3 linked regions of the Anolis sagrei genome follow. The protein of the gene in region 3 interacts with the protein of the main gene of each other region in a pairwise test. Links are inferred from orthologs where the notes say so. Each region holds a gene or a part of one and is shown on either strand. Other genes may lie near its edges.

Region 1 (3,754 bases), on a different chromosome or scaffold from region 3:
AGCAATGATCAATCTTATATCAATGTTCAAATTTGAATTTTCAAGACAACAACAACAATTTTTATTGATTAGCCAGTTGGCCTTATCAAAAACAGACAGTGCAAACACAACATACAACATACGTCTGGTCCTATTAAAATAGAATACAAATATATAGGAATTTATTAACTTAAAACCAATGTAGCTTAGCCATAGATATATGCATCAACTTAATTTTCAAGACAGAAAAAACCCACAATGACCTTCAAGAATAATCTGCTGGGTAAAACACACATGCACAAGAAATCAAAAACTACATGACAAAAATCGTCAAGATGTTAACTCTAAAGCTAACTACATCAAAATCTTAAAACCTAACTGAATTAAAAACATGCTCTGAAACTGTAAGAGAGAGAGTATGAATTGCCAGAGCAGCCTGAGATGCACAAACAAGAACATCCATAATGTTAGATAATACTGGAACCATCTATAGGAAAGTATCCCACATTGATGAACCAGTCCTATTCAATGCAAATGGGGAAAAAGCAATCTACTGTCCACATTGCAGACCCCAGTCATCCCTGAAACTAAACCCAGAGGACTGAGAAGTGCTCCACAGGAGGAGTATTGATTGCTACAGAGATGAATGACAGATGTTTCATTGCATTGGCGTTGTACGACCACATATTACCTGTGGGCTACAGAGTTTGACAAATCAAAAAGAAACAACTGTGGACACTGGCCACCTGTCTTCAAATGTTTCCATCACTGAGTTCTTGAACATCATTCACATGATTTAAATTGTTTGAGAGTTCAAAATTCCAGATACGGGATGATTGTCATGCATGGCTATAATTTTGCCTAGTAGTATCTGAGGAACAGGGTCCAATAATGTTTTGAAATGCCCAAAGGCAGAATTTACAGCAACAATAGGTGTATCCAATGTTTGGGGAAATTTCTTAGGTGGGAGACTGCAACTCTTAGCCAGTAGCTATGTGGTTGGAATATTTAGGGAATTCAATAACATATTGTTGGCTGCATAAAATTTGAATATTTTAAATGTATTCTGATATTTGGTTAGAATTGTGTTGTGTTTTAATGTTAGATGTGAAGTAATGGATCTGTTATGTTTATTATTTAATTTTTGATTATGTGTTATAATTTTATGTTATATGTGAATTTCTGTGATTTGTTTGGGTTGTTTATTTGTTTTTGTTTGCCAATCTTTTATTGGAAACCACTCTGAGACCCCTCAGGGAGATAGGTGTGGGATATAAATAAAGTTGTATTATATTATTTTATTATACTGTCTCCAAGTATTTCCACAGCAGTACAGGCAGTTCCCGAGTTACAGACAGACAACTTACATATGTCTAGGTAAGAACGGGGGAGAGACAACAAGAAGTGAGAGAAATCTTTCCCTTGGAAGGGAAATTCACTCCCGGAGGAGTAATCTATTGATGGCTATAAACCATTTTACACTTTAATGCATTTTAGTGGTCAGATTTTATTACAAAGTAAATGTGTTTGATTATATTTTATTAAGCCTTTAAACTAATCTATTTTGTTTCTAATTTATTTACTTATTGGTTAGTCATTAAAAGTTTATATTGATGTTGTTTATTTATTGGTTTGATTTGGTGTTTGTTTTCATTATGGCATTGAATGTTTGCCACTTTTTTGTTTAGAAACAGTCCTTAGTCTCTTCGGATAGATAGGACGAGTTATAAATAAAGATTATCAACATCAACATAACCATGGGGAAAAGATGTCTCCACTGAAGCTGTATTACCAATCCTTGTTCTACAACAAGCCATATTTTTCAAAATACGATCCTCACAGTAAGAGAAAGTGAAGTGAAATCTTATGAATAGGGGGCACGGACAGCAAAACAAACACCACATAACCCTTCCTTATGATATCCAAAGCTTGCTTTTATTTATATGTGTGTATATATATATATATATGAAGTTACACTTTAAAAAAATTGCCTGTTCCAACTTACATGTTTTTAAAATGTTTTTTAATGTTTATATTTTATTGATGGTTCATGTGTTATATATGTGTATAACTGCTGTTGATTTCATACTGCATCCCTTTTTGGGGATGATATGAATAAAGATTTATTATTATGTTATTACGTATGAATTCAACTTACGAACTCTGGAGCCCCTGGTGGCGCAGTGGGTTAAACCCCTGTGCCGGCAGGACTGAAGACCGACGGGTTGCAGGTTCAAATCCGGGGAGAGGCAGATGAGCTCCCTCTATCAGCTTCAGCTCCTCATGTGGGGACATGAGAGATGCCTCCCATAAGGATGATAAAAACATCAACTCATCTGCCTCTCCCCATCAACTGTAAGGACATTGTCCCCTGGGCAATGTCCTTACAGAAAGCCAATTCTCTCACGCCAGAAGCGACTTGCAGTTTCTCAAGTCACTCCTGACACGACAAAAAAAAAAAACAACAACTTACGAACAAACCTACAAAACCTATCTTGTTCGAAATTTGGGGAATTCCTGTATATGCAATAGATAGATTGATAGATAGCTTAGGCAGTATATACCCTATGTATCTATCTCAGACACGGGCAAACTTGGGCCCTCCAGGTGTTTTGGACTTCAACTCCCACCATTCCTAACAGCACAATCATTATCATGGCCAACCCAGGAAGGAGGCAACGAGCCTGCTCAGCAAGGAGACCTGTGGCTTCTTCTTCTGCCCAGGCCACTGGGCCTCGGCCTTGATTCCGGATTCGCCTTGATTCGCTGCCCTGCCTGGCGGCGGCTGGGCCAAGCCTCCTTCGCCGTGACCTTCGTGGGTGGCGCAGCCATCCCACCTCCTCATATTACAGATACAGACGTCTCCACCTTCCCGTTCCCGCCCACCGGCCGCCTCCCGCTCCTTCCCCGCGCAGAAGCCCACTCACCGGCGCGCGAGGCCCGCGCAAAAGGCCCCTTTTGGCCACGCAACCCGCGACCCGGCAGACAGAGGACGCCGCCATCTTACTTGACGGGAGGAAGAAGCACAGCGCATGCGCAGAAAGGAGAGCACCGGGGGGCCGTGCCAGAGAAGCGCATGCGCAAGAAGCAGGCGCAGGCATCCACAGAGGCTTAAAAGAGGAAGGCAACTATGATCCTTGTTCTCATAGCCCTGCTTAGAGATAAAAGCGACTAGTGCGGTAACTAAACTTCCGGTAACATTTGAAAGCTGACATTCACTATACAGCCCGGAAAACTCACAGCAACCCACTGACATTCGCTGTATGTTGCTTTCTGGTGGCGGTTTGCTCAATGCATTTCATATGATGAGGTGTCATAGAATCAAAGAGTTGGAAGAGACCTCATGGGCCATCCAGTCCAACCCCCTGCCAAGAAGCAGGAATATTGCATTCAAATCACCCCTGACAAATGGCCATCCAGCCTCTGCTTAAAAGCTTCCAAAGAAGGAGCCTCCACCACACTCCGGGGCAGAGAGTTCCACTGCTGAACGGCTCTCACAGTCAGGAAGTTCTTCCTAATGTTCAGATGGAATCTCCTCTCTTGTAGTTTGAAGCCATTGTTCCGCGTCCTAGTCTCCAAGGAAGCAGAAAACAAGCTTGCTCATATGCTAAGCTGGGTCATTCCTGGATACTACTTGGATGGGAGACCACCAATGAATTGAAGATGCTGTAGGCTATATTTCAGAAGGAACCAGACAAATCATCACTGCGTATTCCTTGTCCAAGAAAACCCAATGAAATTCATGGAAATCCTATGAAATTGTATTGTCGAAGGC
Region 2 (3,754 bases), on a different chromosome or scaffold from region 3:
GCTTGCCATAGATGCAGGCGAAATGTCGGGAGAGAATGCCTCTAGAACATGGCCATATAGCCTGAAAAAACCTACAACAACCCAGTGATTCCGGCCATGAAAGCCTTCGACAATAAACCAGTAGGCTGTTAGGAATTGTGGGAGTTGACGTCCAAAATATCTGGAGGACCAAAGTTTAGCCATGCCTGAGTTCACTACCACAAAATATGGTGATGGCCAACTATTATCAGAGGTTGGAAACTTGTGGGTTTCCAGATATTGGTAAACTTCTACTATCATACTTCATTGTTATCCTGATTGGTTAATGTTGATGGGACTTGGGTGTTCCATAGGATCTAGAAAACCACAGATTACCCAGCACTGATTTAACTGAGTTTAAATGTAAATAAGATTAATGGGAATAAAGCAATCAATGCCTACTAGTCAAGGACGCTATGTGCCACCCCATGCCTCTAATGTCATTGGCTGGAGGACATGAATAGGAGGGGGTATGTCACTCTGTGCCCCTTTTGGTTGGGCTTTGATGAGGATCTGGTTGCCCGATTGTAGAAAAGATGGCACTAAACTAGAAAGAATCCACCAACTATGGACAAAGTCTTTCTCAAACTGTGTTCCTTCAGGTGTTTTGGACTTCAGCTCCCAGAAATCCTAGCCAGATTACCAGCTGTTAAGAATTGTGGGAGCTGAAGTCCAAAACATCTGGAGGAGCACAGTTTGAGAAACTCTGAAGTAGAGGAGAGGAGACAGCTATCCTCCAGGTGCTTTGTTTGTGAGCTCCCCAGAAGAATTTGCTTGGCCCTTTCTTGAGGCAGAAAGCATGTGCAGCTGGATCTAAACTCTTGGTCAGAAAGGCTAGCTAAGCGTTCTAGTATGAAAAGTAATTTTCTCAGCCTCTGGTCTGAATCAGTAATGCAAATTCATAATCTTGTTCATCACTTGTATGCATTGCGCACTTTTTTTTCAACTCACTCCATCCATTTAAACAGTGCTGGATTGCTGGTGGTCTGACTCAATGGCCATTGTCTCTCAACCTTACTATTTTTCATCCCCCCCTTTAGCACTTTCTTTATTTCCTCTTTTGTCAAAATATAGGCTGTAAGATCCACATGTAATGGCGTGTTGTTGCTCCTTGATACAATACTATTGTCATTTAATCTGATGTTCTATATTATATTAACTGATCCTGTTAATTTACTCTGTTTCCATGATTTTTCCTATGCCATTATACATTGTCATCTACCTTACTAAACCACTTTATCCTTTAATTAGCTCACGTAGTGGTTTTCCTCCCCCCCTCCAAAATTAGTCTCCTGTTATTGTCGTTGCTAGTTATTTTTGTTATGTTGTTTTATGTTGTTTTTATGCTGTTTTAATTGTTATTGCTTTGTTTTAATTGTATTCTGCCTGGGCTTGGCCCCATGTAAGCCTCCCCAAGTCCCTTCAGGGAGATGGAGGCGGGGTAGAAAAATAAAGTTCTTCTTCTACTACTACTACTACTACTACTATTACTATTACTACTACTACTACGGATGGAATAATGGCTATATACACCCTGATGATAATAACTGATGCAGACCATTTACAGCACTGTAGCAAAACTCATGCCAACCCAAAATAACGTTGCTATGGAGTAGCCTCTTCATCCTGGTGACCTCCCCCCCCCCCCCCCCCAAGATGTATTATGGCTGAGTTGGCTGGGGTTGGTGGGAGTTGTAGTCTAACACATCTGGAGGACAACAGCTTGGAGAAGTCTACTTTGAGCCATGGCAAAGAGAAATATTTCTGAGATATCAGGTCCCTAATGCCTACCTTTTTCTCACTTCTTATTGAACCCAGTTTAGACCCAAGTCTAAACGATTAGATGGATCTACCAAAACTTTGCCTCGTTTCATAGTCTTCTTTCGAGAATCCCAAACCTATCAGTAATTTTGTGACCATTTTATTATGACCACTTTGACCAAGCCTGACCCAAACCTTGCCTAACCCGAGATCATCAAAAGACTCACCCTTCTTCAGGACGAGTGGTGAGAGATAGGTCTTTCCATTCAGCGGAGAAGGATTCTTTCCGTGCCGTGTTCCTCTCAGACACCTGGCAAGCCAGTTCAGCTGCGGACAGTGTCCCAGAGCTTCTCAGGACCACACTCTTGCCGTGCATTGTTGCGTCTGTGTCTCTTCTTCGGCTGGGATGTGAATGTAAAGCCTCAGTTCTGCCTGGGCTATTGTCCCAGCCACGGGTGACTTATATAGTTTTCCGAGTGCCCATTCCCGAGGGATTGGCGTCTGGAGCTAAACTAGGCATGCTGAGTCACTGGTGGAGCATTCTGACACTGGATACGACTCTGATCCCCCTCCCTCTTTTTGCCTCCTCGGGTTGTATGTGTTATTGGAAACCACATTTGTGATGCTATAATATGTTATGTTCATTTAACCCTCCTCTTCCTGGTGAGAACTGCTGTCAACAGGCTGTTTAAATGACTGAGTGTGAAAGATCAAAAGGGTCTGACTTCTGCCACAGTGTTTTGGTGAAAGATTTTACATCAAATACTTTTCATTTAAAGTGGACTCCCTGAAGTTGAGATATAGTCGGTTTGCTTTTGGATCTCTTGTCTGTGACAACAGGCGAATCATAAGGATATGTGTGCATTTGTGATCATGTGCAGATGACATATATTTCCTTTTCATTAAGGATAATGAAATTTCATCCAATGTTTCAACTGCTTTAGACTTTGGGATCTCTGCAATTATTTGGGATTGATCACAATACCACAATTGAAGAGAGATATTGACAAGCTGGAATGTGTCCAGAGGAGGGCGACTAAAATGATCAAGAGTCTGGAGAACAAGACCTATGAGGAGTGGCTTAAAGAGCTTGGCATGTTTAGTCTGCAGAAGAGAAGGCTGAGAGGAGACATGGTAGCCATGTATAAATATGTGAGAGGAAATCATAGGGAGGAGGGAGCAAGCTTGTTTTATGCTGCCCTGGAGACTAGGATGTGGAAGAATGGCTTCTGAATTGAAATCTTAATCAATGTTGAATTCATGGTTATATTGAGATAGAATCATAGAGTTGGAAGAGACCTCATGGGCCATCCAATCCAACCAGGCCCGTAGCCAGGATTTCGTTTCGGGGGGGGGGGGGGCTGAATTTTTTTTCAGGGGGGGTTTCAGGGGGGCTGAGTTTCGGGGGGGGGGGGGGCTGAGTCTGAGTGAAAGAGGTTCTACCCTAGCAAACCTTTTGTATCATTACCCCAATACCCCCATGCATATGGGATATATTGAGTATGGTGATCAGATCATGATATGAATAAACATAACAGTTTAAATAATGCACCAATAAGGCCTTTTCGCGAACCACCATGAAAATTTGGGGGGGGGGGGCTGAAGCCCCCCGAGCCTCCCCCCCCCCCCCCGGCTACATGCCTGAAATCCAACCCCCTGGCAGGAAGCAGGAAAATTACATTCAAAATATTCCCAAAAGATGGCCATCCAGCCTCTGTTTTAAAGTCTCCAAAGAACAAGCCTCCAGGAACTACAGGAAAGGAGATTCCATCTGAACATTAGGAAGAACTTCCCGACTGTGAGAGCTGTTCAGCAGTGGAACTCTCTGCCCTGGAGTGTGGTGGAGGCTCCTTCTTTGGAAACTTTTTAACAGAGACTGGATGGCCATCTGTCAGGGGTACTTTGAATGTAATTTTCCTTCTTCTTGGCAGGGAGTTGGACTGGATGGCCGATGAGGTTTCTTCCAAGTCTATGA
Region 3 (3,754 bases):
GCTAAGCCTGTTATCCCTATAAAAATGTCTCTGATTTCTGTAACCACATGCTCTGTAGGCGAATGATTGCTACATTGCATCCTTTTCAGCTGAATCGCTAATAAAACACCTCGGTGCCGCTTCTTCAACTTTGGTGAGATTTATTTGGAATTTTTAAAGAAATAAAAGTTGCTGAAATCTGGCTTCTCCTAGCTCGCCAAAGTAGCGATCCCTCTTTGGTGGGGTCTCAGGGTCCCTCCTCCTGGGAAAGACCCTCCTAAAGTTCCTATCGACTTCAGGTCAACTATAAATCCCAAATGACAAAATCAATCCCCCATAACCCTAGGTAGGTAGGTAGTCCCCTGACATTAAGTCCAGTCATGTCTGACTCTGGGGTGTGGTGCTCATCTCCATTTCTAAGCCGAAGAGCCAGCGTTGTCCGTAGACACCTCCAAGGTCATGTGGCCGGCATGATTGCATGGAGCGCCGTTACCTTCCCACCGGAGCGGTACCTATTGATCTACTCCCATAACCCTACCAGTATTTAAATTTGGGCGTATCAGGTATTTATGCCAAAATTTGGTCCACTGAATGTAAATACAGCCAGCATATCAGATATTTACATTATGATTATGATTCATAACAATAGCAACAGAACAGTATGAAGTAGCAACGAAAATAATGTTATGGTTGGGGGTCACCACAACATGAGGAACTGTATTAAGGGGCCGCAGCATTATGAAGGTTGAGAAGCACTGCCTTAGAGGAAGGAGGCCTGTGCAGATCAGAGAATAAGAGGCAACTAGCTCAAGGTCCAGAGCCACATTGCTGTCAGAGTTGTTAAAAGTCACCCATTGGGAGAGGACAGCAGCTGGTGCTGGAAATAGCAAACAATTTCTTGAGCAGTATAAGTTTAACCCTTGGTTTTATGGAAACAAGGAGGTCTTGGGTTGTGGATCCTGGGGTGGGTGCAGAGCAGGTTCATGTCGCTTACTTAACGCTCGAGGAAGTGTGACCATTTACACAACCGTGGCTCCAGTTTCTTTGTCCAAACAAACAACGAAGGAGAAAAATAAGGTCCATCCCTGGAAACCGACTTCCTCCAGCCATTTGGACAGGTTGTCCCCTCCACCTTGTTTACAGAGCGCAGGCTCTCTCTCTCTGGAGGGGCGATTGCTCCCCCTCCCCATGTGACAGCATGTCACCCTTTAGGAAACACGACCCCCTTCCCAACGGATCCTGCCAGCCGAAGCACATGTGACTCCCAGAGATAAATTATAAATAGACAAGAGCCAGACAAAAGTGCAGAAAGCCACAAGCTGAGCTTTAAGAGGCAGCCGACAAGTGCTCGAGAAGCCCAATAAGAAGACAGTAAGACATTTTCTGCAGAGACTTCCTCCACCTAGGATATAATTCGGAAGCCTCAAACAGGGCAATGGATTATCAGTCAAGCATCATACGGGACTCTAACCCCATGGAGAATCTGGAGAAGCAGTTGATCTGCCCCATCTGCCTGGAGATGTTCACCAAACCCGTGGTGATCCTTCCTTGCCAGCACAACCTCTGCAGGAAATGTGCCAATGACATCTTTCAGGTCAGTAGATCTCCTCCTAATATTGACCCGAAGTGGGTAAATGTCAGTTTCAATACTGCCAATGCTGGAAATAATGTTCAAGGGAGAGGTACAGGGTGAGGGAGATGAAGTGAGACAAGGAAGCAGCTGATGATAACTTTGAAAGCAAAGCTTGGATAAGTTTTTTTTAACTGAAATTCCCAGAATCTTCAAGACCTAGACAACATAATGAACTATCACAGGCACACCGGTCAGGAGAGCTTGCGAGTTGCAATTCAAAAACTATTTTTTTCTGAAAATGGAGTAGTATTTTCACAAAGAGTCAAATTTGCATTTTCGTAGAAGGACCTGTAATGAAATGTCTAGGCCAGTGTTTCTCAACCTGGGTGTCAGGACTCCTGTGGGGTTGGGTGCGAGTGTCAGAGGGGTTGCCAAAGACCATCAGAAAACACAGTATTTTCTGTTGGTCATGGGCATTCTGTATGGCAAGTTTGGCCCAATTCTATCGTTGGTGGGGTTCAGAATGCTCTTTTATTGGAGGTGAACTATAAATCCCAGGAAGTACAACTCCCAAATGTCAAGCTCTAGTGTCCCAAAACTCCACCAGTGTTCATATTTGGGCATATTGAGTATCCGTGCCAAGTTTGGTCCAGATACGTCATTTTTTGAGTCCACAGTGTTCTCTTAGATGGAGGTGCAGGTGAACTATAACTTCCAAACTCAAGGTCAATGCCCACCAAACCCTTCCAGTATTTTATGTTGGTCATGGGAGTTCTGTGTGCCAAGATTGGTTCAATTCCATCATTGGTGGAGTTCAGAATGCTTTTTGATTGTAGGTTAACTATAAATCCCGTCAACTACAACTCCTGGTGGAGCCCCTGGTGGCGCAGTGGGTTAAAGCACTGAGCTGCTGAGCTTGTTGATCGAAAGGTCGCAGGTTCAATTCCGGGGAGTGGCGTGAGCTTCCGCTGTCAGCCCTAGCTTTTGCCAACCTAGCACTTCGAAAACATGCAAATGTGAGTAGATCAATAGGTACCGCTCCGGCGGGAAGGTAACGGCGCTCCATGCAGTCATGCCGGCCACATGACCTTGGAGGTGTCTACGGACAACGCTGGCTCTTCGGCTTAGAAATGGAGATGAGCGCCACACCCCAGAGTCAGACATGACTGGACTTAATGTCAGGGGACTACCTTTACCTTTTTACAACTCCCAAATGACAAAATCAATCCCCACAACCCCACCAGTATTCAAATTTGGGTGTATCAGGTATTTGGTCCAGTGAATGAAAACACATCCTGCATTTCACATATTTACATTACGATTCATAACAGTAGCAAAATTACAAGTATGAAGTAGCAACAAAAATAATTGTGTGGTTGGGGGTCACCGCAACATGAGGAACTATATTCAGAGGCCGCAGCAATAGGAAGATTGAGAAACACTGAACTACAGGATAATCCTCTTTAAGGGAGGACACATAACCTCTATAAGCATCCAATAGAACAATACACCAACTGTTTGTAAAAACTTTGTTGGTAGAAATGGGCAAACTGCAACAAGAACCTAAGAATGGTGCCAATGTGTGCCACTAATTCTGATGAATATGAATTACAACAAATGAGGGGGGTTGGGAAACATTTATAAGTATTTTTTTGTTATCATGGTGCCAAACATTTTCTAAGGAGTCCCTGTCCCAGCCTTTGAAACATCAAACAAAGACAAATCCTCTCCGGATTGTACCTCTTGGTGAAGGTACTGGAAACAATCCCAAAAGGAATCTGTTTCCTATCTCAAGAGGAAGAACCAGCTGATAAGAGGACGGTCTCTTTGGGGCCTCTTCTAGTTGTGACGCAGTTGTTTCCAACAGTGTTGATTGCTGTTGCTTGACTTCCGAGACAACAAAATAAGGGGAGTCAGGAGGACAGCTCAGGGGCAAAGAAGATATTGGATTCGGCTTCTGGAACAGAGATCAAAGTTTTCCCAAGTTCTCATAGTTTGGCTGGCAGTTGGTGCCGTGGGAGTAGTGTTGATACTAAAGCCAAACCTAGCATGACTGACGGCAGAGCTTGCCAAGCTATGTTGGGAAAAAAATAATTTGTTGCCATTGCTCCTTCATAGCTTTTAAAAAGAAATAGTCTCATTGCTCATTACAGTGGTAAAAACTGGAAAAATAGCCTTCTAAGGTACAACTACATTGAATGA

What was found.
Region 1: the proteins of TRIM63 (region 3) and UQCRC1 interact in a two-hybrid assay, tested with the Homo sapiens proteins (2 studies listed by BioGRID and IntAct). The link is inferred for Anolis sagrei from reciprocal best matches to the Homo sapiens genes TRIM63 and UQCRC1.
Region 2: the proteins of TRIM63 (region 3) and TCAP interact in a two-hybrid assay, tested with the Homo sapiens proteins (3 studies listed by BioGRID and IntAct). The link is inferred for Anolis sagrei from reciprocal best matches to the Homo sapiens genes TRIM63 and TCAP.

The regions. Positions count from the first base shown.
Region 1 is NC_090022.1:56,695,844-56,699,597, forward strand, and holds the start of UQCRC1 (cytochrome b-c1 complex subunit 1, mitochondrial), read right to left. Parts: upstream 3,019-3,754; 5' UTR 2,982-3,018; coding exon 2,907-2,981; intron 1-2,906. UniProt on the Homo sapiens protein: Component of the ubiquinol-cytochrome c oxidoreductase, a multisubunit transmembrane complex that is part of the mitochondrial electron transport chain which drives oxidative phosphorylation.
Region 2 is NC_090026.1:42,864,943-42,868,696, reverse strand, and holds the start of TCAP (telethonin), read right to left. Parts: upstream 2,226-3,754; 5' UTR 2,156-2,225; coding exon 2,007-2,155; intron 1-2,006. UniProt on the Homo sapiens protein: Muscle assembly regulating factor. Mediates the antiparallel assembly of titin (TTN) molecules at the sarcomeric Z-disk.
Region 3 is NC_090034.1:74,269,532-74,273,285, forward strand, and holds the start of TRIM63 (E3 ubiquitin-protein ligase TRIM63), read left to right. Parts: upstream 1-1,274; 5' UTR 1,275-1,414; coding exon 1,415-1,573; intron 1,574-3,754. UniProt on the Homo sapiens protein: E3 ubiquitin ligase. Mediates the ubiquitination and subsequent proteasomal degradation of CKM, GMEB1 and HIBADH.